7 linked regions of the Solanum lycopersicum genome follow. The protein of the gene in region 2 binds, or shares a complex with, the protein of the main gene of each other region. Links are inferred from orthologs where the notes say so. Each region holds a gene or a part of one and is shown on either strand. Other genes may lie near its edges.

Region 1 (3,994 bases), on a different chromosome or scaffold from region 2:
GTGCAAAGAAGTAAAGTATGTCCTTACCTTGATTAGTTGCATGAACTCACTACAATGGTTGTTAATAAGCTCCTTCCTGGGGCCGCTCGGATTTGCCATTTCATCCATTACACCTCCTGCTAGCTCCAGAACTCTGACTATCCTCTGCAAGCATCAGAGGAAGATACAGCAACAGAAGGTATGAGAGTAATGTTTCAGTTACAATTTTTTCTATCAAGAAAAGTGATTACTGACTCCGCATTGAAAGTTATGATCGTGATTTACTCATCAAATTACGATTAGTTGCCTTTGCACTTGACATGCTATATCATCTCCACGTTTTTAATCTGAAGAAACCAATGACTAGGAAACAACAGAGATGCTGTTTCCGTTAGACCAGAGAAAACTCGTGTCAGTAGATATTCAGGGCATATGACAGGACGATCTCGAATACGATTTGATTTCCAACTGTTGAAGATCAGCCTGGAGTTTGTGGAAGATACTCAATGAGCCAGACAGGAAGAAAGCAACCAACAGAAGCAGAAGTTTGAAAAGCCCTTTCAGATCCTATTCTCGGTCCACAGCGTCTTTGATTTATTCATCATTGTCGTCATCTCAACACTATTCCCATCTTCATTCTCTGACTTCGAATTATATTATTTTGGCTGATTTGAGGATGGGTTGAGTTGGGTTGGGTCAGCCCATTTTGACAGTTAGGTGGGTGACATGAAATTCTTAGTCATGGTTATCTAGCCAAGCGGCTCTTGTTCTCATTCATTTCATTTGTCCGGTTGTCCCAGAAATTGAAGGATCCGGAACTCCAGAAGGCTTAGGAGAGCTCAATGGTGGAGTCCCTTACCGAGGCATAACACCATCCATATATCTTCAAGCTTGTCTATGTGTTTCACCCAATCAACGAAATATGGATTTCACCTAAATTCAAAAAGTACTCTCCTCGCTCTCTTTCTTTCTTGAAACATTTTGGTATACAGGATAGGGGAACAAGTAACAAGGACTCGGGCAAGGAAGGAATAATATTGTAGTATCAATTCTGAAATCAGAACATTAAGTATTTTGATGACAAAGAATAGCAGCTACTGAAATCAACCCATCTTAAGTCAATAATCCTGTAGAAACATTTACCTTCTCAACATTTTGCAGCCGCTGCAATGAAGTATTCTGGCTTTGCGAATCCATGTATTCTGAGGGAAGCTGTCAGGACAGGAGAAAAAGATTACTGAATTGCAATGCCGTAGAGCGATCTAGATGTGGAGAAATAAACAGAATCTATAAAACCTGATTATGTGCAGTTTTCAGAGATTTTGGTTCTGAGATCTTTGCAGTCAAATAATTAAACAATCAGAAACCTAAATCCTCTGTAATCAATCCGAAAACAGAAGAAAAACTTACATCTAATAAGTATTATGTCCATTAAACTTACCACCCTACTACACTCTTTCAAGGTACGGGTTTGGCCGAAATCAACAACTTTTCTCTGAACTCTATATTTGTCTTAAGAAATCTATTTAATATGTATAAATTATTAATTTATAAGAGATTATTTTATCCTGCGTGTAGTTGGCAAGATGCAGGATAACAATCTCATGCGATATGTTCTAAAATGTTGAGATTGGCTATTCCATATAGAAGTTGGATAGCTGATCCCACGAGAGAAATCCTTGTCTATTCCATCCCCCATACCGAACGATCAAGGACTAGAACACTGAACCCGTAAACTTCAAATCCTAGCTCCGCCTTTACCCCCAAGACCTGCTGATTATCAAACGAGCAATCCTAACATTTCACCGTCTTCCTCTAGCATTTCTGCAAAGGGGCTATTTCCTTCGACACTCAAACCCATTGCCAGACTTGATTAATCACCCCTTACTGTTCAAATGGAATCATTTCGTTTTTTGCAATTTTCTAATTGTTCAATAGTCTTATAAATTTGAATTCAATTTTTCAAATTCTATCTCGGAGTAGCCATTCACTCAACTCCGAATGAGCTCTTTCGAATCGTTCAATAGCCCTGAACCTGAGATCTGCAGTTTATTAAACAAGCAACCAGTGATAGTCTTATGTTTCTTCGCTGTTCCAAATTTGTCCTACACTCTCAAAACCTCACTAATTTCATATTCCACTTACTTCATTAACTCTTTGTCATCTTCTCTCTTCTCCATTTTTTGGAGGAATTCATCACTCATATCTCTGACTGCAGCGGCTCAACCCTAAAGCCAGCCACTAAAGCAAGCAGTGGATTTAGGACCCAAAAAAATAAGGTCCTCAAATTACAAATCCCTGAAGCTCCGAAAGAACCAAAAAGCCCCAAATTCAGCTCAAATGCACAACGATATTTCATATCATGCATGAGTGAAACAAAGCTCAGATACAAATACAAATACATATAAGACGCACAGGCACGAAATATTTTTCTTATTATTAAAAAAGGAGCCAGCGAGATGTCTGATATCGGCATCTACAAGTGAGAAGTCAATCATACCTTACCTTCAACGGCGGCTATGAGTGGCAGAAGAACGGCAGTCACCGGTGGTCGGAGATAGTCTCAGCTCCGAGTTGTTGCCTGTAATTTTTATTTTTTATTTTTATCATACAAGCATGTAATTGAATAAACATATTGCTTAAATTAACGCATATTTTTTTTAAAAAAAAACATTTTTTCAATTTTTTATTTGTTTAATATGTTATAAAGGTTTTAAAAAAGATATAGCAAACAAAAAATTCAACATAGTGTGAAATTAGGTCTTAGGCGTAACTCACACCCCAAAAGCTAGCTCAAAAGGAAACTCACACCTCAAAAGCTAGCTCAAAGGGTGGAGGATTGCTCAAGCCTTATAAGGAGTTCACTCATCTCATTAATCACCGATGTGGGACTTTTTGTCATTCTTTAACACATAGAAACTATATAATTCTCTATACATATACAGTTGAAGCAAATTGTATAAAATGAAGTGTATAAAACAAAAAATAGAAAGACACTTGGGCAGAGAACTGTATAAAAACGAAGCGTATAAAGCAAATTGCATTATTATAAGTGTATAGAACGATTATATAAAATTTGAATTTGTATAAAATGAGAAAGAGAAAGACAAAAAAGACTTGACAAGGAATATACAATTGAATAGAATTGTATAAAACGAGAAAGAGAGAAATTAGATACAATTTGAGAATTGTATAAAACGAGAAAGAGAGAAAGACAAAAGAAATTGGGCAGGGTGGTATTTTTATTGTATAATTATAATTGTATAGGACGAAAATATATGTACTTGCATGTGTATATACAATTTTCTCATGCTTTATACAAACAGAAACGCAATTTATACATTTCGCTTTTGTTTGTATAAGTGAGAAAGGCGAGGGTGGCGAGCGAGATTTGGGAGAGTGGCGAGCGAGACCTGGAAGAGGGGAGAGAGAGGAACAAAAATATATGTATTTATACAATTTTCTCTGCTTTATACAATTAGAAACAATTTTTATACACTTGTGTTTGTGTAAAAAGTGAGGAAGCGAGTGAGAGATTGGAGGAGAGTGGCGAACGAGATTTTTGGGATAGAGGCGCCTGACAATTTTTTTGCAAACGTTTACTATGAAGCATAATTAAATCAAACCCTACCTACTCTATTTATTTTAGGTTATTAGTTTGCTATATACAATTTTCCCTTTAAAAATACATTTGCTGATTAAATGAATATATACTAATCTAAAAACTATTTATTTTCAAAAACGTTTTCTTAAAACAAGTTTTTTAAAAAAACTTTTTAGCAAATTCATTTGAAAAGTGTTTTTATAAGCAATATGTGTTTGACTAATTTTTTTAAAAAGTGTTTTTATAAGCAATTTGTGTTTGAATAATTTTTTTAAAAAGTGTTTTTGAAAGTCAAATTACGAAAAAAAACAAATATCGATGTGCTTTTAATATTAAAATTATTTTATAGAGAGAAACTATTTTAAACATTTAATACATAAAATTTAATTATATTTTTAATTTAATCACTTG
Region 2 (4,768 bases):
CCATATTGTTTGGATATTTGACAATGCCAATTTTGTTACTTCAAGATATCTCAACCTGGTTCACAAAATTAGTGGGTCAAATATACAATTGGGCCTTCCAGTTTGATTTTCCCATGGACCAAGTTGGGCTTGATATGTAAGAAGACCAACAATTGAATTGACAAAATAGCACCTTTCCTCCTATTCACTTAAAGTTATTACCGATCTTCTTCTATTGACTCTCTCTTTGTCTTTCTTTATTTTTCACTTTATAAAAATTAAATTATACAAATTACGATGTATAATTTGTGTTATATAAAGCAAGAGAAAGATTTGATATACAATTGTCTTATTTTGATTTAATTGTATACAAATTCAAATTTTATGCAGATATACAAACACAATTATTGATATATAAATATAATAATTAAATATATATAATTATCTAACCGAAATACATATACAATCGCTATGCTTTTATAAAAGAGATAATTGTATAAAATGACAAACTAATAATATAAAATAAATATAGTAGCTATCCTTTAATTTATTTGTGTTCCATAACAAACTGTTTGTCAGTCTCTATCTCTCTCATATTCTCTCTCACCTCTCTCCTCTCTCGCTCGCATATTCCTGTCGCTCGCCTCACTCGCTTTATACAATAGAATTGTATAAATTGTGTTTCTACTTGTATAAAGTGAGAGAAGATTGTATAAATGCATGCAAATACATACATCTTCGTCCAATACACTTATAATTATACAATACAAGTATTTTTCTGTCCAAGTATCCCTTGCCTTTCTCATTGTATACAAATTCAAATTATATATAATTTTTCTCTTTCTCGTTTTATACAACTCGATTAAATTATATTTTCTCTGCACAAGTCTCTTTTTCGCCTTTCTCACTTTCTCGTTTTATACAATTCAAATTGTATATGATTTATCTCTTTCTCGTTGTATACAATTGAATTTTGTCGTTCTCGCTTTCTCGTTTTATACAATTCAAATTGTATATAATTTATCTCTTTCTCGTTGTATACAATTTGCTTCAATTGTATATATAACGAATCATACATATATATGTTTGATATAAAACGCAATAATGCGAATTTTGCTATAGCAAACAAATATGAATTTTATGTTTGCTATAGGTGAAAGTTGCCCTTTATAAAAACGAGGGCCTACCAACGATTTATACAAAAATCTGACACTCCTGTCAACGATATATACAAATCTGATGTTCCATATATAATTATAACTATAACATACAAATATAATTTTTATGTTTGCTAAACCTAAAATTTTACTCTATATTGTTTACACAATTTTTTTAAGGAAAAGTTTAAAAAAAGAATGTTTAATAAGAAAATAACATTTTTGAGTCAAAAGTAGCCATATGGTAATTTTTTGACTAAAGTTTTGACTATATGAATATCTTTGGGCAAATTACAGAAAATTAAGGCAAAATTATAATCTATTTCTTAAAAGTTTATAATTACAAAAATCTCTCAAAACGGATACAATAATATAACCACTGATATATTAATCTAATGCGTAAGATACATTAGTTTGATGTGCGAGATAAACTAATCTGATGCGCGAGATACTCTAGTATAATGCCCGAAGTACATTTTATACATGATATAATGTAATGTGCAGAATACATTAATTTAATGAGCGAAAATAAAAAATTTATAAAATTGATAAGTAATAATAATAATAAGTAAATTAAAATGTGAGATTTCCGTAATTAATCTAATATTTTTTTTTGCCTAAATTAATGAATAGAGAATATTTTTACTCAATTTAACATAATTTATTGAAGTAAAGATAAAACAACCTTTTTATCATAGTAGTATTGTTTGTTAATTTAATGGTTACCCCGTCTTATCACAAGCTCCCCCACTCAGCCCCAATTGAAAAACGTTATCAGTGATTTTGGCTTCCACACTTATAACAGTGTAGTAGTTTTAATAGTAAAATGAAAAGCCGAATAAATCCCCACTAGCTGGAATCTCCGTTCACATTCCTCCTCCCCCACTCAAACCCTAACCCCACACAGTCACCATAGTGATTCCTGTCGCCTTCAACTGGCAAAGACTTTTTTTCGGCCAACCACTTCTCTCTCTAACCCCTCTCTCTGCCTTTCTCTCACTATATACGTATACATATATAATTATATTATATATTAGGGTTTTTGGGCCTTTTTGGTTTATTCAAATGAACAATCAACAACCACCTGTTGCTAAAGATACTGAAGTGGAGAAGGAGGAAGAGTCTTCTTCTGTGATTACCAATTCTCTAGAACCTTCTACTAATAAGGTTCACGAGAAACCGGATATCATTATTGAAGACGACGACGACGATCATCCTGCTGCAATTGTGGCTATGGTGACGGAGAAGGAGGTCTCTTCTGTTGACGATGATCCCATGGATGAGGATACTGTCAATCCTGCTGTCGTCTTTTGTATTAGGCTCAAACAACCTAGGTCAAATTTGCTTCATAAAATGAGTGTTCCTGAACTTTGCCGCAATTTCAGGTGATTTTTTAAAATTTTGTTTATGCTACATCTCAATTCTGGCTACATGACTTAGAAGATGATATCAATATTTTTTTTCCTTATAACTAAAGTAAGGATACGATCGAATTTAAAAAAAGCAGAAAAAGTGAGATTAGTCTGTTAGAGGTTTACTTAGTTATGCTGGAAGTGGAGAACTTGTTGGAACTTCGCAGTTTAACTGTTGAGGCGGTGGAAGTCACTGAATTGAGTTCTAAAGTTGCTGTACGTTGAGCTCACTGCCTCAAGTGATAGCTAGTTGCTGATCGAAGTGTTGACTTGTTAGTCCGATCATTTGCCGACCAATACTATTATTAGAACATTCTGCTCCCAATATAATCATCACTAAAGTTTAACTTTCTAGATATATTATAAGGATTTGGGCCCTATAATTTGTTCATACATGCAGTAGTTCACCTATGCAAAATGAATTAGTCAAAAATATGTTATTTTTAATGAAGTTTCAGTGGAATATGGAAGATATGAGAAGAAAAACAGAAACTGCAGTCTCATTATGGTCTTACAGAACGACAGAGGGAAAGTTCAATGTTTTTTTTAGTTTCAGTATTTTTGTTCCTAGAGTTATTTCACTTTCTAGATAGAGAGAGAATCATCCTGGTAAGTGTAGTTGCATGCTAATCTGAGAAATTTCAAATTTGCTTTGCCATTGCGTCTTATGCCCTCAATGGGGTAATCATCTTCTTTTTTCTAATAAGTTACATAAGACGATAGGTTAAGTACCTTTAACAAGAGACCAGAGGGGTTTACTATGTTAGAGACTGAAGTACTTCCTCATTTGTTCCTAAATCTTAATAGAGGAGTTAGTTTTAATCCATCCAGTGAAGGGAACTTTAGAGAATAAGACAGAAGTTTCTCTATTTATCTTGCTACATTGTAGAAAGTGGTGAAGATTTTTTTTCTGAAACTGGTAACTCTAGTCTATATATCCACAGGTATACTAAAACAAAAGTGTAGTTCCCCTTCAAAAGTTTTACAACTTACAGAATAAAACAGTCTTAGTCGAAAACTGCTGCTTATAAACAATCTAGCACATCAAAGATATCTTCCGTCCTAGTTAATATATCTTGTTTACATCAAAAATAGAAAAGAGCTGAGCAGTCCATCTTGATCTTCTGTAAGCTATTCTGCCAATTTTCAAAACTCCTGCTGTTTCTCTCTTTCCAGATTGTCCACCAAATACATGCCGGGACAAGTTTCCATCTCTTCTCCTTGTCAGAAGCATTGCCATCTCTATTCCAGCTGCTCAGGACTCCTTTAATGCTCCCTGGTTTCACCCATCTGATTCCCTTTAGACAGATGCACATTCATTCTCCATAATTGTTATGGCCATGTACAATGCAAAAAAAGATGGTTAATTGTCCCAGCATGTTCTCCACATAAAGTACATCTAGAAGCCAACTGATAGCCTCTTGTCTTTAGATTTTCATGAGTCAAAACTGCTTCTTTTGTTAATAGCCACATGAAGTAGTTTACTCTGTAGGGTACTTTTGGTTTCCAGATGATCTTCCATGGCCATTCCATCTCCTGTCCAGCATTCTTGTTGAGTTTCTTATACACTGAATTTACTGAGAATTGACCTTTGGTATCATTTTGCCAAACTAATAAGTCCTTCTTATCAGTGAGGTTGCTGAAAGACCTTACTGAATCTTGAAATTCTGCCACTTAGTCAATCTCCCAATCCTGAAGGTTCCTCCTTAAGAACAAATCCCATCTTTGTCCAGTCCACATTGTAGCCACAGTGGCCTATTGATGTTGGCATAAAGTAAACAATTCAGGATGCAACTGTTTCATAGGGACAGATCCATTCCACTTATCCTCCCAGAAGGGTGTCTTTGACCCATCTCCCACTTCTACCTTGGTTCTGTGATATAGCACTGGCCATAGATTTCTGATTTTCCTCCATACAGTGCATTTATATGAAGTACTTATCATTTGTCATCCACATATTTTCCATGCCATATTTTGGTGACCTCTTTCCAGAGCATGTTATCTTCATTTGCAAACTTCCACAACCACTTCATCATTAGTCTCTGGTTTTGATTCCTTAGATTTCTTATGCCTAGGCCTCCTGTGTTTTTACTCACCATCAGGTCTTTCCATTTAACAGGAAAAAAAGTATCATTCTCAAAAAAAAAAAAGAAAGATGAAACTTCTTCTTATCTTCATTGCCTTGCCATAAGAAATTTCTTCTAAGAGCATCAATGCTAT
Region 3 (4,763 bases), on a different chromosome or scaffold from region 2:
CCGGTAAGAAGAACTTCAACAGCTGAAGGAACATCATAGATGGGAGCACGGGCTTGTTGTAGTCCTTCATGCATAAAAAACAACGAGTCGGCAGCTTGGGTGAAACATGTATCATGACTAGATAAAGTGGATGCAAGCTGCTGACTGTATTGTATCAACGGGACCTGCAAACCAGATAATTGTGTTGGTACTTTAAATACGGAGTTTGAACTGCAGTTTCTACGAGATCAATGATAAAGAATATAGGGCCAACCGTTGATTCTAAGGGTCCAGGAAGATTTGACAACCATATTTCTACTCACCTAGATACTGAATATAATACAAGTGTATCTTTCCTTCCAGAAAAAGACAGATGAAGAAATGAAGACATGAAAGGGAGAAGAAAGACATGAAGACAAACCTTGTACATAGCATTACCAACATATACCTCGAAAGAGTTTATTAAATCAAAGATTAAAGGTTCAAATGATGCTACAGAAAGTTGTTTGAAGCAAGATCTACAGGAAACTCATAGCTCTTTTGGTGTGACAGCAGTTCCATTGTTCCCACCCCACCCTATTTCTTTTACACATACTCTTTCTCCCAAGATTAGAAATGGGATAAGTCCTACTGTTCCTGGTTTGTCCTTCCTTTCCATGTTTTTGGCGTAATTGTTAGGTGACAAAGATCCAGTAGTTTTAGAGCGTGAAGAGTGATTGTGATTCTTTGAATTAGGTGGAGTGTGTGCTGTGTAAAATTATGTGCATATGTCCAGAAATATTGAGGTCTTTTAGTGGTGTTCATTGGCATCAATGGAGAAGAGGAGTTCACAGTGGTGGTTTTTTTTTGTCAAAACGTGACCAAAAATGGTCATCAATTTATTATAATTAAAAACATAGTGCAAAACAAGTTGGTCCAGAACAAAACAAAATAAAATAAAATAAAATAAAATAAACCCAAATTGTTAATTGCCCAAAGAGCAAAATTGTTCAGCTTTTTGTATATTGGAAACCTCTTCATCTTCTCCCTTCTTCAACGAACTGATCGCCAGATTGCTCATCTTCTCTACCATCTCATCAGAAAATGACAGTCTTCACGGTGGTTTAAGTGGTGGACAGAGGCGTTGCTGAAAAAAAAAGGTGATCGAAAGTTGTGAATGATGAAAATTTCGAGGAGAATGGAGGTCTTTAATTTTTTTGGGAAGTGGTTACCGATAAAGATGGAAAGTTATGGTGGTATATCAGATGTAAGAAATGGAAAGAGGTGGTCAAGGGATAGAGACGGTGAGGGAGAAATGGAGTGAATAAGGAAAAAAATTGAAAACTTCAAAATAAAGTTAAAAATAAATGACATGTCATTAAAAATCTGAAGGGTCAAAGGGGTTTAGAAGATTGTGTTTCATTGAGTCTAAAAGTTCAGTCGACAAAGTCGTGAATAGAAGGGCTTTGTTGGAGGTCTCAAGTTCGAAACACCTTGCATGTGAAAGCAAGGGGGTTTGCCTTCTGAGTCGCCTGGTGCGGGTTACCTCTCCTATGTGGTTTGCGAGCTATTGCATAGGAGTGGGGTTTTACCCTATGTGCACCCAAAAGGCAGCGGCTCCAGGTTTCCCTTGTCATAAAAAAAAAGGCGAGAATAGAAGGGTCTAATCGACAATCCGATTCAAATACAAGGGTCTCTTGGATCATTCCGCCTTTCATCAAATAAGCTGTTGGTACAACTTGAACAGAGCATCGTACAATCTTAAAACCTTTGAAGTTGTCCTCAACTTTTGTTTTCTTTTGGCAATTGTCCTCGACATTCACTATAACTAGAACTTCCACCCTAACTATCTGATTTTAAGTTTTAAATTACTCCTCGTGGTCCATCTTTTCCCAATTCCTAAAACAACATCCACCCTACTCATTTCACGGCTACCTTTCTAATCTTAATCAAGATCCATTTTTCTCCATTCCAACTCACAAATTTCACAAAAACAAATACATGACCAATATACATTCTGTCACTACTCTCTCAATGCATCAATAAAGAAAGAGAAAATCCTCTCCTTTTCCTCTTTCCAATTCACAAATCCTGAAACAAAAGAAACCCTAGAAGTCGAAAACTACTCTTCGCACCCCTCAACAAAGAAGAAAGAAGGCACACTTCTTATAACCCTTAAAGAACTCAAACATAGAATCCCCATCTGCCTAAGCCTGGAAAGAAAATTTTCCCCGTACCTATGCCGGTGGGAGGTAACGGGTACCTTTGGATTAATAAAGGGGGTCACAAATTGGGAAAAACACATCATTATATCTAAAAAATTAAAAAAAGATAGTGTTCAATCTTGAATGCATCAACATACATAATGAGAGAGGGAGTGAATAGATTAAAAAAAAAAGAAAACAACCTGCTGGCACCATTTGGATAGGACATTGAGACGAAGCATACGCTGCTGAGTCTTAACTACATATTTAAGAATCCCAATTTTCTTCTCAGAATCAGATAAGTTAGACGACTTGCACTTCTCCACCAATTCCTTCAACGTAACATACGACTCCTCAGCTGCTCTGCTTACCAGTGCCGAGAAATCCACCGTCTGCTGCCCTAATTCCGCCATCTCCGCAAAACCCTCCGATTAAATTACTCCGACGATCCCGAATTCCTACTAATACAATGCCATTTAATGAAAATTGACCGCCCAAACAATCAATTACTATTAGGGTTTGTAAAAATTGTGGAATTTGAAACAAAATATGAATCTCCGACCTGTAGAGAGAGTGAATGAAGCGAGTGTTGTTCTATTTTTTTTTTCCCTTTTTGATAGATCGGATGTCTGAAGGTAACGCGTAACGGCGGAAGGGAGAGGGTGTGCAAAATTGGAATATGGTACTACTAGTCGGAGAGAAGTCAAAACTAATATAAAACCTCTAAAGTTCTATTTGACCAAGTTTATAAAAATTCATCTCCTTAAATCATGTTGATTTAGAAAAAAATATAATATTTAGAAAGTTTCCATATAAAAATATTTATTAAGTGTGCGAAAAAATATTTTTATTGCGTTTTTTGATATACCTTTCAAAGTATGTGAAGCCTAAATATTGTTTGAGCTTATCTGTTGAGCGGTAAGAACTTATCTATTATTTTATTTTTTCTTTAAAACGGTGTTTAACAATCATTCATTTATTATTCATCTGTGACCTGAATTATTCTTCATGAAACTTAAATTTCTTGATTTACGCGTCTAATAAATCATTGCGAATTTACTTCTGGTATACTTGTTTAAAAAATTATCACGTAATAGTGAAATCTAATTATTATAGTCATAGTATTCGCCCACTTGTTTGTCCAGGTCCAGAGATGAACATGTCCTCGTAGTCCCTTATTACTCCGCCCCAGTTTCAGAATTCTCTTTCAAGAAATTACACATTTCTTGATTTTCTTAAAGTGATGATGGCTTCGTCTATTTGATAATTATATGCACCGTTACATTATTTATTCGTCAAAAAGTTTTAACTATTATTTTCAAATATTGTTTCACTACAAATTTTCAAGCTTTAAACTGGTTATTTTCACATTAATGAAGAAGATCAACATCTCTGAATATATGGAGTTTCATTCTCATGTTTGGAGGCATACCTTAACCTCAAAAACTATCACGTAATTAAAATTAAATAATGCATTGAGGTATAATGATGAAGGGAGATTCCGTCAATTTCATTATGAGATATATGACACTTATGCAATCAAACGCTTTAGCATAAATTCAAATTAGTTTCGTTTATAGGATCACTCTTTTCATTCTCTCATTTTTTATAGTGTGTTTTAATAGCTTGATGTCTGTATCTTAAATATCACATTTATTTTATACAACTAGATCATCATAGTCCATATATATTATTTGGACATTTTCAATAACCTAAAATTTAGGTTTGTGTATTGGACGGATCAGATGGATAGTTATGCTTAATTATTTGGCTTGTCGGATATTGATTTTTAAATAGACTGATCCACTAGCCAACTAATAAGGTAATGGTTCATTTAATGTCGGATTGGTAATTAAGGAATGGTGCATTGGCTCAATTGTTTCATGCTTTCTTTTTCACTTTCACCCACTAATATATCAATCTTCGATCAAACAAAATATTTTTTAGCTCTACTTAAGCAGATAAATGATAATTCTTTAATTATACATAATGAGAAATATTTGAAAAACTAAATTTTGAGGGTGCATTCACATAGGTATTTATTAATAACGATACTTACGGTAAAAATATAACTATAATAATTCTTAGTAAAGTAATAATTTATCCAATAAGAAAAATGGAGTAATCTACCCGGTATCGACAAACTGTTAAATTTTAATACGTTCACCAACCATTAATGTGATAATCCAATACTAATAAGTCAGTTTCGTGGTTGACTTATTAGTTTTGAATCTATTTTGAACAACCCTCTTTAATTTGATTTTTGAAAGAAAGGGTGAAACTTGAATAAGCAAAGCGAGCCTAGGGTACTCGCTCTCAATGACATTAGGCACTACCTCATTTGAGCTAGACATTTAGATGAAATAACGTAAATACACAACTATAAGTTTAGTATTCTCTAATTTTCTCTTCTTTTTTTAAACATTACATAATTTCCTTTTTAAAAAAATAATTTAGTAGAAGTTTAGAGATACATAGTCTTCTATCTCCTATAAAACACACTTCCCCAATATCATGCCTATTTTTTCTTCACTAAAACGCTCAATCTTCTGAATCACTTTTTGAATTTTGAATTATTAATTTTAATTAAAAACGTTTCAC
Region 4 (4,661 bases), on a different chromosome or scaffold from region 2:
ACACCTGCAACAAGGACCAAGAAAATAATCAGAAAACAGAAGTAGGTCACAAAAATGAATAAGAAAAACTCAAAGGGTACTAAAAAGAGAAAGGAGGGAACCTAGAAATATACCTGCTCATCAAAGATTGCTCGGTGAACTTCACGGAGTGTCGAATGAGTTTCTCTCACATGCTCATCATCACTTTTTTCTCTCTTAGTTTCTCCAGAAGAATCCTCAAAAGACACCTTTGGTCTCAGTCTGCTATGTTTTATAACACCAGCAGGTGTACTTGCACCGAGAAACTCAAATTGAAGAGTCCGGCAGGAATTTGGCGGTAAATTCACAGCCAGCATCCCAGCTGGGTCATGCTCAATACGCACCACAGATGCAGAAGATGGGCGAAATGCAACCGCTGGATCATATAATGAAGTGTCAAATAAATCAATGTAAAACCCTTCATTTCCAGAAGCAGCAGCAACCATCCGATGCCATTTAACCTTCCAATTTTGCTGCAATCTATCAGCTCATCAGGAAATAGCCAAAATTTTGAGGAAAGGCACAAAGACATGGTAGTCTAAATGACTGCACACATATCTTTCACAATGTACTAATACTGTTCGTAGCCACAAAGAACAAACCTGATAAGAGCACCATAAAATCTTGCTTCTCTAGCCACTTGTTGTTCCAAAGCTTTGGCAGATTGCTTAAAATATTTCCCCAAATGCTGCAAAAGAAAAGCCAAATTACGAAACACATACAGCTTTGCTAATGAAGTGCATAACTATACTTTGTCAACAAACCATTAGACTTAAAGATAATCAGTGGATTATTTGTTTAACTCAAACTTATACATCAACCATAACATCTTGCAGAAGGGATAAAGTAAAATACACGGAAGCATTGCAGCTTGGTTGCCATAGACACGGCAAGGTCTGACAGATGCTCGTTGGGCAATTGCTTTGGCCTGGTCATGCCAGCCACTGTCACTGCATCGTTTGCCTCCACCTGTATGCAGAACAGCAGAGTCAACAATGCAATACATAATCCACAGTTCCTGCTAATTTATTCATCTTATGCCTAAGAAAGGTGCTGTCTTAAATGCCAGGGAGAAGGGGCAAAAAGGGATTGAAGGAGCAAATGGACTGACGAATCTCATGCCACTTAAATAACTAATGCCGAAAGCTTAAGTCAAATTTTTTAATCCTTAGTTGTCTCTATCATACTGATAATGAGGAGTAAATGATATGCTAGGGACATTATCATATGCCTTTTCTAGGTCAATGAACACCATGTACAAGTCCCTCTCCTTCTCCCTATACTGCTCAAACAATCTCCTTTCATGGCTTCAAGCTGAATTGGTTCTGACACACCCCTCTTCATCCTCATCTCGACCACCCTTTCCCAGACTTCCATAGTGTGGCTTAGTAGCTTGATACTCGTGTAGCTATTGCAATTTAGAAAAGCCACGTTGATTCAATTCAAAAATCCAATATGTGGTGTATCCAACTTTACACCTTCCAAAAGGCCTTTCTTTATCACGCACACATGAAATTCCCTACTGGAACAACTTAGAGGTAGTTAATAATTCCTCTGTTGTAAATAAGATGTCTTGATCTTCTTTCTCTAACCACTTTTCAAGTACATTCACGATCATACATGTGTGTATTTTACAGTTCTCTATTGTATTTTCTGAATTAGATTCATACCTTACTAATATTGATAACTAAATAAAAATGTTCCAACCCACTCTCGTGATAAACCTCAACATTGGAATAAAACCAGTGTGCTCTATTCTCATAGATGAAATTTTATTAACATTTATCCATGATGCAAACACTACTCTGTATCATTCAGTCTAAAACTGCATGCCACAAAAACTCAATTGGCCAATAATGAGTACAGCATAAGACAAATGTATTCCACTTTCAAGCACATTATCAGGCTAAAACACAAAGTTTTCCTCTTATGGTAAGTGCATGGAACACAACCAGCTAGGCACAAGACATACTAAACATGTACCAACAAATAATCAATCAATCAACCGACACCTCAATCGCACACTAGTTGGCATTGACTAAACCTCCGTATTAAGGCGGAGCTAGAGTGTGGGAAGCAGGTTCAGCAGAACCTAGTAGTTTTAGCCCACTTTGTAGGTATCATATGCAATCCATTTACTAAGTACAAATTACTAATTTAGAAATCATCAACTCAAAAAGAATAAAATCCCAAACCTATAACCTGCTCACCATTCTTTTTTCTCTATTCAACTTCATTATTCTCAAAATCTCACAATTATCACACATTAGTCTTTGACCAGACACCACACAAACACCAGACCAGATGTAAATATCAGAACAATTAAAACTTAATTTGAACTATTTTCTATCAAAACTATATAGACATTAAGTTCAATCATTAAAATTATAAGCCAAAATTCTAATGTTAACACTTACAGTGTGAATGAGATCGATAATGACTTGAAGCTCTTGATGAGCCAATCGCAAATTCTCCACCAAACTCTGCCATTGCCATGGCTGACTGCTACTTGTCTCCTTTGAAGAAGTAGCACTACTGCTTTTCTTCTGCTTCTTACTTGGCTCTTCTCTTTCCACTGCCCACGCAAAATCAATTCTCCTAATCAAATTCACCGTTTTCTCATCGTATCCTATATCACTGCAACAATTACGAAAAATCTAAATGTAAATATCCAGCTCACAAACTGATTATGCATGAAATTCTACATTTTTATATAGAGAGAGAAAGAAAGTGTACGAAGGGAAGCGTTCAGCGCCTTGTTCTTCAATATACTCTAAACGCTTGATCGGAAGCTTGTCGACGGAAATCTCCAGATTGCCGTTCATTTTTCAGGGAGATTTTCCGGGAAGAAGTGTCGGAGAAATCCCGAATTGTGCCCTAAATCGGGGAAAATACCCGTCGAAAATAATTGGGGTTTGGTTCGCTTAATGTATGGGCCTATTAAGATCTGGGCTTAAATCATGGGCCTATTACGAACCACACTATGGCCCTTTCATGTTTGGTTTGGTGGGTCAAAAAAGGGAAACTTACGTAAATGTACTCGCTTGATCACTTTTAATTCATTTATAATACAAGTTTAATACATATTACACAGAACAATTTATTATTCACATGTAATACAAGTTTTAATGATAGATAATACACTTATAACACATTTTAATACACTTATAGTACAATGCGACAATTTTTTACCAAACAAACATAATATATTTCAAAAACAATTAGAATTCATATATATTGCATACATAATTCACTTTTAATACATATTACAGACTTATTACAGTATTGCTATAAATGGTAATAAACAAAAAATATAGCTAAAATCAGTAATTATATTTTAAAATGTATTAATTCATGTAATTTTTTCGTCAAAAAATGAGTTATTTGCGCTTTTATCGTATTTGTACTTGATTTCAATTTTTGTCTCTTATGATAAATCAATAACTTTTTTGGTGGGACGTAAGTTTAGATTTTTTTTAATCATAATATCTCATAAGTTATAGCACGTGTGCCCTTAAAGAACTTATGTACCGCTAGGTATAAGTTTGATTATTAAAGATCAACCTATTTAAAAGAAAAATCGTGCAATTATCAATTATTAAAGGTAAAATTTGAAGATCAACCTATCTGAAAAGAAAATCATGCAATTAAATATTCAAAAAGGTTCGATAGTTAGCAAATCGTCTTGTAGTTTCGATAGTAACTAGGTCTACAGAAAAGTTATGCGTCTTATATTCATGCATAACTTTCATACTGAAAATAACACAGTTAAAAATATTATTACATATATTAACTCAAATAAATATGATTGGTGAATAAATTTTACTTATATACATTACAATAAACATCTTAGTTTCATTATTTTCTTGGCGGCTAAGGATTATTTTTACAGTAACAGATCGGTCTAATCACGAGTTCATAGATTCAATAAAACTTAATGATTTGATTTTGAACATTGTAGTAGCATATGCAATTCTTTGACAATAGATTTATTTCAATTCTGTTTTTGACGATGCATTAATATACATGTAAAATTTAACTAAGAAAATCAATTAATTTCATATTTATATAATTTCATAATACAAAAGAACAATAAATTTTTTATTTAAAAAAATCTAAAAGTTTGAAGCAATTAAATTTAAATCATTGATATGTTTAATTAATTTCAACTATAAATATAATTAAATATACAATTTAAATCTCCTTCTCTCAACTTATAGTTTATAATAATTAAATTCTAAATTCGTCATCGATCGAAGTTGATACACCTCCTCAATGAATCAAAAAGACATTATTGCTAGTAATTCTTAATTATTTTAGTGCCCTTAGGCTACTAAAAGAAGTATAGTATAAAAACAAAATAACAAAATATACAAGTTTAATATTTTGATGATGTGTTTATAGTAGTGGTTGGTATTATGGCAATTTGCCAATTGCCACGTCACCTATTATATAAAAATTCCAGCTTGTCATGATTACGTGTCATTTTTATTTGATGAGTTTTATAAAAACCTTTTTTTAAATGAAATAAAAATTTAAACAATAATGATACTATAAAATACCTTTGTTGTGCGGAATTTGAGATAATACGAGAAAATATAAACGCGAAAAACAAGACAACAGATTTACGTGGTTCACCAATA
Region 5 (4,570 bases), about 1.5 Mb from region 2:
ATTTTTGCGTTGCCCTTTTATTACTTAGATATGAGATCTAGATATACTTGAAGGTCTTTGGAGAAGTGTAGGCATGTAACTGTATACTTGTGCTTTTTGGCTATCCTGGCAATGCTGAACACCCTATTTTGCTCGTTGCTCATTTTGGTTCACCTTTCAATAGCAATTCTTACTAATGTTTCCTCCAAAATAATTGCAATCGTCTGAATGATTTCCGTGATAGTTTTATTTTGATAAAAATGTCTTATGTATTGTAGTCTTCAATACGTCTCCTGCGTTAGTTTCTTCATTCATGTATTGATGCCAATTGTCATATGACGTGGTTGAGTCCTTCTACCAGTCATAGTTGGACCCACGTTCTATCTAAATTTTAGCATTCAACAAACCCCGATGGCTGTAAATTCTTCTCTTCGTTGCTGTCACGCTTACATATTAGGCAGACAAGGTTTTCTATATATTTTGTGTGGTTGCTACTTGTTTTCGGCCACGCCTCAGTTCCAGCACGACAAGAAAATATTCTGGCGATATGCAATCTAAACTCCCAAAGTACCCAGACACAGCCCAAAATGTGTCTACGAATTAAAATCATCAACTCGGTAGGGTAGTTGTGCATGCCAGCTGCCATGTTTTGGGATCACATGTTTACGAAGTCAGTCTGATAATTGCATAACTTTTGACAAGTGCTGGAGCAGAGAAACTAGCCAACTTCTAAATTGAACACGTGGCACAGAAGACACTAATATTTAAGGATGTGGAGACAAAAAAACTGCTGATTTTTGCTATTTAGGCACATTATCCCTACCTCTTTTCATTCTATAAACACAGCTCTAAACCAGATACAATAGTATACTGAATTCTTTTCTTCAGCAGTGGCCAAGAACTTAAAAAAAAAATAATGTCAGAGCATGCCTAATTATAATTAGTTAATAAATGTACCCATAACAGACATGGACACAATCAATTTGTTGTTCCTCCAGGGTATATTCCAGCAAGAATGGGCTCCTCAAGCAAACTGAAATATCTACTACCTTATTCATTCTGGCTTCTTCAAGTTCAGGCAGTTATCTGTTGCTTGGTTAAACAACTCCTGGACCTGCTTTAGCTCCTTCTCTAAATCACCAAAATCAGCAAACTGAGTCTCAGAATAAACAAAAAATTAATAATACAGACAGGAAAACGGAAATTTGGACCTTAGCCTAATCAGAACAGCTTCCACTATCTTTCAGAAAGAAAGCAAGGGAAAAACAAACTCTTACCTGCAGCTTCCAGTTGTTTTTGAAGTTCTTGGCCAACTGCATCGTTCTCAGCCTACATCACATACATACACAACCGAGTAAGACTACTAAGCCCAAAATAGACAGACTAATCTTTATTTATCCTTCTTTATTTTTTTAGTTTAAATACTGTTAAGCTATAACACATCAGAATTAGAGGATGTCAAAAAGTGAATTCCACCAATTATTCACAAAGAAGCATATACCTGGAGTTCTGCAATTCTTTTCAATTGGGCTTCTTCACTCCCATCCGATAAAGGAAGAGCAGCAACCAACACATCGAACTGCTCAAAGAAGGATAAGAAAAAGAGAAGATAGATTTAATACAATGACATTGTAGCAAAGCATACACTTTAGGATCACAATGAAAATTTGCAATTGGTCTGAATTAGAGCCACACAATCCTCAAGGCTACTCTCAAGTGTCGGCTGTGCTGCTTAAGTTTGATAGGATGCTAGATTAGACAACCTCTGATTGTGAGGCCAAGAAGAAAACAAGGGAAACATAACTGTAAACTTGAACACCTTAGAACTAATCACAGGGTTGTCCATATACATTTCATAGAAGACAGCTAAAGGGCGATAAACTAGAACTCAGTTTTCCGGTTTTGACACCAGGTTTACCCGGTGAGTCTTGGCCTAGATGTCATGGTTACCAAACCTGAGAGGCTGACATCAAGTTCTCTAGTAAAAATCCCTAGAGGCATGCAATCCTGTCCAGCTAGTAGTTGGAATTTGTCCGCCATTATGTGATTCAGTCAAGTTTTATTGAAGTAGTTGGTGATGCTAATAGCATTATTGTATTTCTCGTTAAACTAAGGACAAAAGACTAGGTATTTGAACTCAACCACACTGGTCTCAGGAATCAGGACTAAGGTCTTTGAACTCAACCACGCAGGTCTCAAGTCTGAACAAACAAAGACTTAATATCATCTGGTATAGAACTGCATGTACGCATTAGATATGATGAGCCAAGATACAACTTAGTGTTATCTTGTATAGAACTGCACAAACACATCATATATCTAAAGATTTGACGTTTCCAAAAGTAAACATACTAGTCAAAAGAAGACAAAAGAAACATTATTTTGTCCAAAAATGATTTTTTGAAGGAATGGTAAGTGCATTTGTAATACAGCACCAAGAAGGTGCAATCAACAACATTTACAGGGAACACAAAGATATACCTTCCTATTCTTAAAGGGATTCTACAAGTTCAATCACTTATTCAGGCTCATTTACAAAAAAAATGTCTACACAAAAAAGGAAACTAAACTAAATAGTTTATCTTGATCTTCCGAAAAAAGAGAAAATTCCCTATTCTCGAAGTACACGCAGATTACTTTTATACCCTGGTCTGTGGCTTGTTCATATTCGTTGATGAATAAGCAGAAAAAGTGAAGGTATGGAGTATGGAGTTTCACCTGCTTGGCAGCCTTAACAAAAGCAGCACTCATTTGCTTTGGTTGTTCTGCAACATTAGCTGAGTCTTCTGTGGGATTAGCAGGTGGAGGTTCTGGATAATTAGGTGATAGACGCACAGGAGGGGCGTCCCTCTGAAGAGTACCAAAGGTGTTGAAAGCAAGAGCTGCAATTGTATTTACTTGTTCCTGTAACTGTGATATGATATCCATCTTCCAAATCCTTCCCTTTATTGCTAACAAAAATGGTGAATTTTGAGAAAAGATCGAACAAAGGAATAGAAAACAGAGGAGAAGAACTTACCTGAAAACCCTAGAATTGGAGGTCCGGGTAGAGCCGAAGTAGATTCGATAATCTGTTACAATTGTTTTAAAATTAGACCTAAAATTAACCATTATTTCAATTAAATTTTACGAAAAATGCTCAAAAATATTTCTGAATTATCCGAATTAGCTCACATATATCTTTAAATTAAATTCTAGCCCTTCTATTAAAGTATTGAGTTATTTTTACCCTTAATTTTAACAAAGGTGTGTTAAGTGTCACCTGAACGCCACGTGGACACCATATGGATGCCACATGAGCACCAAAAAACATCATCTCCATGTAGACTCATAAATCTTAATTATTAATTTTTTTCTCATTTTCATTCATTTTACTTCTCTAAAACATAATACGATTTCCCTTTTTTTTTCTTAGACGATTTTCTCTCTTATACGATTTTCCCCAGGATTTTACAAATTTCTCTTATGAACGCCATTGAATTTCTGAGTAAATTTCGTCACTTTCTGAGTTTCACCGTTCTTATAGATAATGCACAAACACCAGTCCTAATTTGTAAAGTAACATGCACAAACACCAGTCATAACTCTTCACATTTACTTGTTTTTATTTTAAACCTTTCAACATAAAGTCTGACTTTATCATTATCAAGTGAGCGCTTAAATGACATAAAATGCAACAAAAATAATTTAGCTTTACTATTTTTTTTAATTGTTTTTTTTTTGTTGTTGTAATTTAGGCTTTGAAAAGATGCACGTGGTCAGCATACGACATCTTAGATCAGACACCACAAAAAATTAAAAAAGAAACAAATAAAATTTATGTTTGCCTTCTCATCCTGCTTCTTTCTATCTTCTAAGCATCAACTATGGCTTCTCTTCTCACCAACGGAATCTCACACTTCTGTCCTCAATCCATCGCTGAGCAGCCTAAACTCCCAAAAGGGTATAACTTTTTGCCTAATTCACCCGGCCCCAAAATCTCAAATCCAGGTAATTTCAAGATTAAAGCTGCTGATGCGAAGGCCACTGTTGAAGTTCCAGGTAAAGAATCATCTTTATCAATCTCAAATGAAGGCGACCCACTTCAGAAATTCTTGAAAAGAGACTATAAATGGGGTTTTAATGAAAATATTGAATCTTTTGCGCTGCCAAAAGGGCTTTCGGAGGATACTATTAGGTTAATTTCATCAAGAAAGAATGAGCCTGAATGGATGCTTGAGTATAGATTGAAATCGTATGAGAAATTTGTTAAAATGAAAGAGCCGAAATGGTCTGATAATCAGTACCCAGAAATTGATTTTCAGAATATTTGTTATTATTCAGAACCTAAAAAGAAACCAACTTTAGATAGTCTTGATGAGGCTGACCCTGAGCTTGTTAGGTATTTTGATAAATTGGGTATTCCTTTGAATGAAAGAAATCGTTTAGCAAATGTTGCAGTTGATGCTGTTCTTGATAGTGTTTCTATTGCTACAACTCATAGGAAGACCTTAGAGAAGTCTGGTGTGATTTTTTGTTCGATTTCTGAGGCTATTAGGGAATATCCAGATTTAGTCAGGAAGTATTTGTTTAGAGTTGTGCCCCCAGAAGA
Region 6 (4,734 bases), on a different chromosome or scaffold from region 2:
GGATGGCCAGTTAAAAGCGTCCAATCATCATATAAAGTTATAAGACAATCTAATTTCATTGAAAGGATGGAACAACCATGAACAAGCTCCATAACAACATACTGGCAAATGAAAAAATTTATGCATGTGTTGATTCAAATACTAAACAAACATCAGAATTTAGAAGAACCACTCGGCGGAGGTTTCTGCATCAGCCATTCAAGCCAAACAAACTCCCCAACTGTTTCAGCTAAACGATCAGAAAGCCAAACAAAAATAAATAGCCATGGTAAAGCAAGATAAAAGGAAGAGCTGAGTAGGTGAAGGAGGATGAATTCTCAGTCATTTGCTCAACAAAACATGTGTTTTTGCTTGCATATGTGCGGCTCAGCATATTTGAGAAGAACACCGAACTGATATCAATTCAAAATTGGATGATCTCACCTTTCAGAAATACCAGTAAAAGAAAGAACTAAGAAGCATCTCAAATGAAGAAACCTAACTGAAAATCGATAGAAATCTATAATTAAGTAGACCAGCGATAGAAGGTCAGAAAGCAGGTCTAGTTATCCCTCTCAGTGGTCAACAAGAATTGTTAGCAAAAGAAACCTGCAAATGTACCTTTCCTTGACTACAATAATTTTTTCCCTTGAACATATTCTTCTCGTTAGCAACCTGAGCTTGCCCCTAGAGGGGAAACATATACATGACCTTGAGTGGCATATAATCAACCTTGTCATGGACAGGGTTATATATAGTAAATAACCAAAATGAGTTGCATCCACACCATATGGATGGAGGATTTTCCCTGGTAGTCTTGGATAGACTCTACTCCCATTTAAACATGGCAGTATATTAAAAACATCTTAATAAATCCTTCATTCGAATTGTGCCCAAATTTTCAAATATAGATATTGATTTAAGATTTCTCAATAGTTAATCTTAAGTTTTAAATTTAAAATCTGCATTTAATACTTCTCCAGAGTTTATATATCTTACGAAGCAGGGAATGTAGTGAGCCAGCAAGTCAACTAACAGTCTAAGAAATTGAGGGTCTCAATAAGTTTATTGGATTGAGAAAAATATGCCACAAAGATAACTGTAATGCATGCATAATAGTTGGCAAAGCAATAATATCTTAAACAGCATAATTCAATTAACATGGCTTCTTTTAGTTTCCTTCAACCAAAGAACGGAAGTAATATAATTGGAAGTCGTTTATCCAGTTTTACTCTAAAAAGCCTATTTCTAAACAACTATTATTGCTGAAATGCCTCTTCTGAAAGAGAATTAACCTTGTTTACTTATCCTTTCAAAAAAATAGTTCCATCCATGCAGAAGATTAAAATACACTGTTGATTCCAAGCTCCGCAGACTTAATCAACACGCGACTAAAAAGTTAAGAGAAAAAGGTGAACAACATTTTCCTATTAAATGATCATATTTCCCTTATTCATGCTTATCTGTATACCTAAGGGCTTGGTCTATTTAATTTTTGCTAGAATAAGAGGGGAATTTGTCGGTCTAAATAATTAACATCGGATTTGTGTTGCCTAAAGGTTTCACTTTGACTATCTTCTCCAACACTTTGACTTTGAGGGGGTAAAATGCATATATTTTGTTTTCTTGATGTCACATTTTGGTTGTTTAACATCCTCATTGTCTATTGCTGCAGTATTACCTCACTTTTAAAGAAAGCAGATGAGCAAGGCTATGGTGCCACTATAAATTCAATTAAACACAATAAATATAAATCAGCTAAGTAGTCAAAGTGGAGAGATAGAATAGAGTAACCAAATTTCTGAAAAACAAAGACCACAGCTGTTGAAACTTGAAAAGAAGAATCACTGATTGAGAGCCTTAAGAAATTAAAAATGAGAGAGATACGAGATGATGAAGGTTGCCAGAGAATTCATGGAGAAATAGTAATTGTGTGAACAAGAAATTGTAAGTAGGATTTACGTTACTAAGGCTGTTGCCTCGACTCTTAAAAATGTCACGAGGTGGATGTCGGATACTTCAAAAGTAGTAAATTTTTGGAGGATCCGACAAGGTTGCGGCAACATTTTTGGAGATTACGAGCAACTTAGGTTTAGGGTTTGAGAGAACCATGTAAACAAAAGATCTTATAGAAGGGAAGGGTGGGTAAAGTGCAAAGGTTGGAAATACCAATCATTGCAAACAACTACGAGTTCTTTAACCGCCTCCCTTCAGGAATTAGACTTTTTGTAAGCCATTCATTCTAATTTTCATTTTTCAAAGTTAAACTTCGGTATCAAGGCTTCAAAAGTTTCCCATATTAGTTCAGAGAAACTCAAATGCTATGTGCACATGATTATCACATAGAGAAATGGTATTCTCCTGAGCACAGCATTTTCTCAATGATTTACTAGCATCGGAATGCAGCATTTTCCGTAAAAGATATTTACAAAATTGAATAAATAAACAACTCAATGTATTCATAGTAGACGAGTTTGAATCTATGGTCTGCTGAGGTCAGGAGTTGGATTTCAATAGCTTCTGACCATAATTTTGATTAACTTCGGGTAAAGGTTGAGGTTTTAATCCCCATCCTAAACTAGGGAAAGATAATCGGCCGACATACAACAATTCATCCAAATAACGAAAATCAATGACTGAATTCAGGATGAAATACTAAAACAAAAATGGGAACAAGTAGAAAAAACAAAAACTGAAAATTTAAGTGTATGAAAATGAGTACCTGATAATTTTATCAAGGTAATCGGAAACGATGATTTTCCAGTAAGGGCCCAACACAGCGGTGCCTTCAACGGCGACGATCAGTTTGTCCACCATCGCTGCTTTAACCAACTGCTTGATTTTTCCTTTCCACGTCCAACCTTGTCTTGTTTATTCTTTTCTTATAAAATATTACTCTTTTAACAATAATAATTTTGTGCAGCAGCCAAAGACACAAAATGTTGACTTGTAAATACTATCCCTAGGGTTTGTTTGTTTTTTAATTTATTTCCCTAATATTTAACATTTATATATATATATATGGAAATAAATAAATTCTCAATAAGAATTAACACACCAAAAATAATTATGGTAAATATTGTATTATGGTAAGTTACTGTACTAAAAGCAACTTCCATTGCAAATCGTTGTGTGATCGTTTCTTCCAAAGTTATACAATTACTTCTAAATACGTATATTCGTAATTGGAAGTTGGGAGTTTACATTAAAAAAAAATAAGAATAAAAGAGGACTCTATGTGGTTTTTGTTCACAAATGAAGTTGTTTAAGTAGATGAAGAATTTCGGAAAATGTCAAGTCTCATATGATGACCTGCGGACTGGCAAGATGGTTTGTAGAATGGTTTGCGATTCAAAGAGAGGAACCGTAGGAGTGTCCTAGAAAAAATTTGAGGAACTTTGGGTTCTATGAGAGGGCCCTACGGATCGTAGGAAGGACTTTGTAAAAGTTGACCCAAATCTCAGTCTTCATTACTCGATCTATAGTTGATTAGTACGAACAATAGAAGTTTCTATAATCTGTAGGTGGCACCCATAGAGTCGATCCCACACTATTTAGTAGGGATATTCCAGTGTTTTCCCACCCTTTCTAAGCTTAAACCCCAACATTTTTACCTCTAATTAAGGGCTAAACATTGTTGATCAACTCTTTTACGTTCATTAGCACTCCCAAGACTTAGAGTAATCATCCATGATGAGAAAGGTAGGGTTTTCAAGCATCTTCTTCAAGTTCTTTGCGTTTCTTAAAAAAAAAATGGTCTTCCAAGTATATAAGGTTATTCATACTGATAGACTGAGTTCGTCCTCATGCCCTACATCTAAATTCAGTCAATAAGAGTCTAATCTAGGGTAATACCCTTAGTTTTGAGAATTCTTGATATGAATTATGTTATCAATTTCAAGTTCTAAATTCTTAATTTTGAGTTGCAATATATTATGCATCGAGATCTTCGAGTTGTTTTCCATGTTTATATTTCCACTTGAACTCTATGATGAGTGGTAGATTTTCACTCATTTGAGGTCTTTTTAGTTCAACAATTAGTGTCCTCGTTGCCTGTTTATGTCCTATCTTGATGATATTTTGAGGTTTTTAAGGTATGAAGGATAAAGGACAAGGCAATGATGAATACATGGAAATAGGGCCAAAAACATTGTAAGGAGTACAAATTTCCAACTGGTAGTCGGCTAATAAAAATGGTGGATCGCCTGATTGGTCTGACCTCACCCAAGTTGACTGTGTGCACAATTTTAAATATTCAAGGCAGGTTGGCAGACTAAACATGAAAAGGCAATTCGCCGAAGTTGAATGGGCGAAATAGAAGTCAATCACAAAAGGTGACATAATTTTGAGCAAAAATAAAAGTTGAAAGAGTATACAAGGGGGAATCGGTGATCCATTGAATGTGAAAAGTTGACTTGATCAAGTTCACCAATTGAGTTTCAAAGATATGAAGCTTGAAATAAAAGAAGAGTGAGCTAAAGAGCAAAACACAATCTGCCAAATGAGTTAAGTGAGCCCTACTAGCATCACCAAATGAGTCACATATGTAATCTTGGGGAAACTATAAATAACCGAAAGGAGAGAGAAAATAAAGGAAGTTTTGGGAGAGGCCCGTGGAATGTTGAGATAAACTTTTTGCTAATTTCATATTTAATTTTGATATTGAGAAGAAAGATTTTTTTTTCTTAGTTTTTGTGTTTTCCAAACACTCTTGTAATTAACAATTGAGGGTTGAAATTGAAGTGGTTGTTAAAT
Region 7 (3,971 bases), on a different chromosome or scaffold from region 2:
CTGTCTATGTTGCTCAGACTCTCAGTGGGTGTGTATCGGATTTTCCAAAAGTATTGTATTTTTGAAGAATTTGACACGGGTGCGGCATCAAAAGTGAAGAGTCCGCGCAGCTTAGCTTTCTGTTAGTTGTTACTTACAAATACTTTTCGATGCAGTTCTACCTGTTATGCTGTCATCAAAGCTGCTGCCAGAGATGGAAGTCGAAGATAATGCCAAAAGGGAGCAATTATTACACAGCATGCAACACCTATCGGTAGCATCCCAAATTGAGAAGTTGAAGGTGGAAAGCTCTGCAGATGCTATTTCTTCTGTTTCTGTATCCTTGTGGCTTTCTAATATACCTATAACACACAGGTTAGAATTGATATGATTGGAGCAGCATGTGAAAGTGCTGAGAAAGTCATAGCTGATACGCGCAAAGCCTACTTTGGAACCAGACAGGGGCCAACACTGCTTCCAACTATTGACAAGGCACAAGCAGCAAAAATTCAGGAACAAGAAAATTTACTTCGCACTGCAGTAAATCATGGTGAAGGTGATAATATTTATGTTCTGAGTTTTTTCCCAGAAACATCTTTTCTCCTTCTCAGAGTTCGTTAAATGTTTTGCTTGCACAAGACATTGACGCTAAAGATACTTGGACCCCAATGGTCCCTATGTTGATGTTTAATCTAAACTAAAAGAAAGAGAGAAGGATTCTTGCAAACTATCAGATCCACTGAGTGCCTTGTTAATCAGAAAATTGCACATATTTCTGATGACGAAGAAGGTGCAATTGCAAGTCAGATGCTTCAATGTGCTTCTGCTATGCATCACAATATATATGTACAATAAACCTGACATGTGTCTAGTGTGTGTAGCATCCCTTTGGTGGTGTTTGGCGGTACACTCGTTTATGATTTGTTTTAACATGTATGCTCACAGATTTCATGAAAATGGTACTTATGCAGGATTACGTGTACCTGGAGACCAAAGGCATATTACTTCTGCACTTCCTGGTCATTTGGTAGATGTGCTTACAGTGTCTGATGGCCCCCAGTCTTTCGCTGATTCATCCGGTAGCCTATCATCTATTGTTGTCCTACTGTTTCCACTTTATTTCATGAACATCTGACTAGAGAAATTGATGCTGTGTTCAAGTAGGGACTTATCTGAAGAATACTCCTCCCTTTCCATCGAGCAATGTTAATAGTCAGGGAGCTTTGTTACAGGTCAGATTTCTTATAATTTGCCTTGTAAATATGCCTTTTGCTTAAGGGATGAAGATCAATTTGAAACATGATTTTACTTCCACCCTCCGGCGTCCTGTAATGTTGTTATTCAAAGGAGCTATGAACAAAGGGACAAGTGGTTATCTTGTTAATGAGTGAATATCAATTTGGAACACATGAATTTTACTTCCACCACCCATAATTTTGTTACTAAAGGAGTTATGAATAAGGAACAAGTAGTTATCACACAATTATGCTATTCTATCTTTATCATTTAAAAAATTATGCTATGGTTTCTTTCTGTTTCGAAAAAAGGAGCCTTAACAAAGATAAGCGGTATGCCGTGTTACCAGGGGGTCACAGGTTTAGCCATGTGTAGGTCTCTCGCAAAAATGCAAAGTAAGGTCTGCACCTTCTCTAGTCCCAGGTATAGAGGGAGCCTAGTGAATTGGGCTACCTTTTTGTCGTCTTCTGTATGGTTCTACTATCTCTTTTACTGTTCTCGGGGAGGGAATTGTCATGCCTTTTTATTCCCAGTTCACTCTAGGTTTACAGACCTCTTTTTAGGTTGGCCAACCTGATTATTTTCACATGTTCCATAGCACCAAATGGATACCAAAAAACTGCACATCTTAGAATGGGTTTAGATCAATTAGTTACTGAAGGAGTTTACTAGGTCCACTATAGTATTTAATAATCATATACATGTTCTATGTTACACACCAAATACACTACCCTGATTGTAATTAATATCAACTACTGCATGTTCTTTGTATACTTACATCCTTGGTTACACATCAACTTCTCGTGCAAGTTGTAACGCCTGTTTTTTTTTTTTCTGGGGGTGAAAGAGCTGTAGGAATTATTTCCCTCATTTATTTGAATTTATTGGAGGATGGGAGATCAAGTAGAGTTTGCTATTAAATACTTATGTAAGAGTTCGGAGAGGAAATGCAAATCTCCTTCTATTCATGGCGCTAATCAGTAATATGGAAACAATAAATGATTAATCTGCCAGAAGTATACTGATCATATCCTTTTTCCATTCTTTCTCCTTAACTAAACATTACATTAAATCAATGTTCCCCAAGTTATTTTAATATATTGAGTCCTTATTGTCTTTTAAGTTCGTCAGTTCTAATATGTATGTATTGCTCTTGGAGTAGGCTTCTGGAGCACTTCGGGCTGCAGTTTCTCCTTCTGGGCCCACTTCCTTTGATACTACAACAGCATCACCTCTGCAACATGTCAACTCACCTAGGTCTAGTGCTAACATGATGAATACACCATCTCCTCAGCAACAGACCCATCAGCAACAGCAGCAGCAACAGCAGCAGCAGCAGTTGCAGCAGCATCAGCTCCAACAGAGGCAGAAAATGCTGCAGTTACCTCAGCATCAGCAGCAAATTCTTGCCCAACAGCAACTTAGGCAAGCCTCAATGCCTGGACTGGGGCAGGTACAGTTTGTACAAAAATCTTGATTGGTTTAAGGTATCTTTTTGTGAATTTGCACGACGTATAGCGTGCTTAGTATGGGCTACCTTACCATTACCCTTTTACTCATAAAGAACAGGCATATATCTTCTTTTGTTTCCTCCAATTGTCAGCTATGAGAATTGAATCCCTAGCAGTTCCTTCACAGAAAAGCCACTTTTTTTGGCCTTTAATATCCAACTAGTTCCATTAGGGAATCCACTGAGTCCTTTATGACAACCCGTAAATAGATTTAGCGGTGAGAGGGCCTGATGAATCACCATCCAACTGCGAACGCCTCTCATCTCGCAAAATTTACAAAAGTTGAAGGCTAAAATTGTTTACCTCATTCAACTCTTGAGTCATTATGATTCATTTAAAAGGTCCAGAAAAGAGTTCTCTCAGGCCTCTGCCACATCCCATGTTGACTTTTAACAAATTGGGAGAAGTCCTCCTAGTTGTGTGGTATCCCGTATCCCCATCCTAGCTGCTCTTTGATAAGGACTGGTAACTTGTCATCCCCATTTCCTTTCCACGTGTACTCCTCTGAACCATGCTCCAGTGCAATCTTTATCAACCCTTGACCTCCAATTAGGGATGTTCATGGTTCGGTTTGGGTCAGTATTGGTTGAAACCAAAACCAAATACATATCAATCAGTTTGGTTGTTGTTATTTGGTTTGGTTCAGTTTTAATGATACCTAATGATATTTCTCTCTTCAATTTTTCCCCTTACAATTAAGAAGGATTTTCCCATCCTTTTTCATCTTTGTGATGTCTTCCATTCAAAATACTTTTGATCATTCATCTAAAGAGGATTCTGGGTTTCTTTTATCCGAAGCGAATGCTTAGCCTATTTTGTGTTCTTTTTACAGTCAAAGACTGACATAAAATAACAAAGAAAATAGATTCATAAATTGGATCCACTGTTTTGATATGCTTAATGGTAAATCCTAGTATGTGAGGACAGGCCACTAGTTTTACAGCCAAGCTCCTGATCAACCTACAGGATTCCCAACTTCTCCAATAGGTAGGAATTTTATCTCATTTCTTCATCTACCAAGGAGAATTAGGTCCATTTCACCAATTAAAAAAGAAAATTGGGACCATTTCCCCGTAAAATTGAAGAGCAAAAAGTGCACTGCTTGCACTGATCTCTTTAAACTTGTTATGGTTCATCTCTCCTTATTTAGCATTCAGACAATTCATGAGGAGGAAGAAGCTCAGATTAGTTAGTAACACATGCACACTGGCTGTTTGTATATACGACATGCGTAAATATCCAATT

The links.
Region 1: mediator of RNA polymerase II transcription subunit 16 (region 2) and mediator of RNA polymerase II transcription subunit 11 share a complex: the UniProt entries of both Arabidopsis thaliana proteins name them as parts of the mediator complex. The link is inferred for Solanum lycopersicum from reciprocal best matches to the Arabidopsis thaliana genes SFR6 and AT3G01435.
Region 3: mediator of RNA polymerase II transcription subunit 16 (region 2) and mediator of RNA polymerase II transcription subunit 14 share a complex: the UniProt entries of both Arabidopsis thaliana proteins name them as parts of the mediator complex. The link is inferred for Solanum lycopersicum from reciprocal best matches to the Arabidopsis thaliana genes SFR6 and SWP.
Region 4: mediator of RNA polymerase II transcription subunit 16 (region 2) and mediator of RNA polymerase II transcription subunit 17 share a complex: the UniProt entries of both Arabidopsis thaliana proteins name them as parts of the mediator complex. The link is inferred for Solanum lycopersicum from reciprocal best matches to the Arabidopsis thaliana genes SFR6 and AT5G20170.
Region 5: mediator of RNA polymerase II transcription subunit 16 (region 2) and mediator of RNA polymerase II transcription subunit 21 share a complex: the UniProt entries of both Arabidopsis thaliana proteins name them as parts of the mediator complex. The link is inferred for Solanum lycopersicum from reciprocal best matches to the Arabidopsis thaliana genes SFR6 and MED21.
Region 6: mediator of RNA polymerase II transcription subunit 16 (region 2) and mediator of RNA polymerase II transcription subunit 25 share a complex: the UniProt entries of both Arabidopsis thaliana proteins name them as parts of the mediator complex. The link is inferred for Solanum lycopersicum from reciprocal best matches to the Arabidopsis thaliana genes SFR6 and PFT1.
Region 7: mediator of RNA polymerase II transcription subunit 16 (region 2) and mediator of RNA polymerase II transcription subunit 8 share a complex: the UniProt entries of both Arabidopsis thaliana proteins name them as parts of the mediator complex. The link is inferred for Solanum lycopersicum from reciprocal best matches to the Arabidopsis thaliana genes SFR6 and MED8.

What each region holds. Positions count from the first base shown.
Region 1 is NC_090803.1:5,625,740-5,629,733, forward strand, and holds the start of mediator of RNA polymerase II transcription subunit 11, read right to left. Parts: upstream 2,801-3,994; 5' UTR 2,485-2,800; exon of another isoform or gene 2,480-2,484; intron 1,192-2,479; 5' UTR 1,177-1,191; coding exon 1,123-1,176; intron 145-1,122; coding exon 28-144; intron 1-27. UniProt on the Arabidopsis thaliana protein: Component of the Mediator complex, a coactivator involved in the regulated transcription of nearly all RNA polymerase II-dependent genes.
Region 2 is NC_090801.1:59,381,906-59,386,673, reverse strand, and holds the start of mediator of RNA polymerase II transcription subunit 16, read left to right. Parts: upstream 1-1,870; 5' UTR 1,871-2,201; coding exon 2,202-2,521; intron 2,522-4,768. UniProt on the Arabidopsis thaliana protein: Component of the Mediator complex, a coactivator involved in the regulated transcription of nearly all RNA polymerase II-dependent genes.
Region 3 is NC_090800.1:84,077,939-84,082,701, forward strand, and holds the start of mediator of RNA polymerase II transcription subunit 14, read right to left. Parts: upstream 2,900-4,763; 5' UTR 2,576-2,899; coding exon 2,366-2,575; intron 165-2,365; coding exon 1-164. UniProt on the Arabidopsis thaliana protein: Component of the Mediator complex, a coactivator involved in the regulated transcription of nearly all RNA polymerase II-dependent genes.
Region 4 is NC_090811.1:1,513,381-1,518,041, reverse strand, and holds the start of mediator of RNA polymerase II transcription subunit 17, read right to left. Parts: upstream 2,953-4,661; 5' UTR 2,844-2,952; coding exon 2,755-2,843; intron 2,656-2,754; coding exon 2,436-2,655; intron 988-2,435; coding exon 874-987; intron 707-873; coding exon 621-706; intron 499-620; coding exon 114-498; intron 5-113; coding exon 1-4. UniProt on the Arabidopsis thaliana protein: Component of the Mediator complex, a coactivator involved in the regulated transcription of nearly all RNA polymerase II-dependent genes.
Region 5 is NC_090801.1:60,839,613-60,844,182, forward strand, and holds mediator of RNA polymerase II transcription subunit 21, read right to left. Parts: upstream 2,908-4,570; coding exon 2,698-2,907; intron 1,559-2,697; coding exon 1,481-1,558; intron 1,309-1,480; coding exon 1,257-1,308; intron 1,133-1,256; coding exon of another isoform or gene 1,125-1,132; exon of another isoform or gene 1,111-1,124; coding exon 1,034-1,110; 3' UTR 753-1,033; downstream 1-752. Other genes in the region: iron-sulfur cluster assembly SufBD family protein ABCI8, chloroplastic, read left to right, coding at 3,846-4,570. UniProt on the Arabidopsis thaliana protein: Component of the Mediator complex, a coactivator involved in the regulated transcription of nearly all RNA polymerase II-dependent genes.
Region 6 is NC_090811.1:29,982,436-29,987,169, forward strand, and holds the start of mediator of RNA polymerase II transcription subunit 25, read right to left. Parts: upstream 2,955-4,734; 5' UTR 2,797-2,954; coding exon 2,702-2,796; intron 1-2,701. UniProt on the Arabidopsis thaliana protein: Component of the Mediator complex, a coactivator involved in the regulated transcription of nearly all RNA polymerase II-dependent genes.
Region 7 is NC_090802.1:67,516,011-67,519,981, forward strand, and holds part of mediator of RNA polymerase II transcription subunit 8, read left to right. Parts: intron 1-155; coding exon 156-280; intron 281-354; coding exon 355-535; intron 536-950; coding exon 951-1,058; intron 1,059-1,140; coding exon 1,141-1,211; intron 1,212-2,377; coding exon 2,378-2,668; intron 2,669-3,971. UniProt on the Arabidopsis thaliana protein: Component of the Mediator complex, a coactivator involved in the regulated transcription of nearly all RNA polymerase II-dependent genes.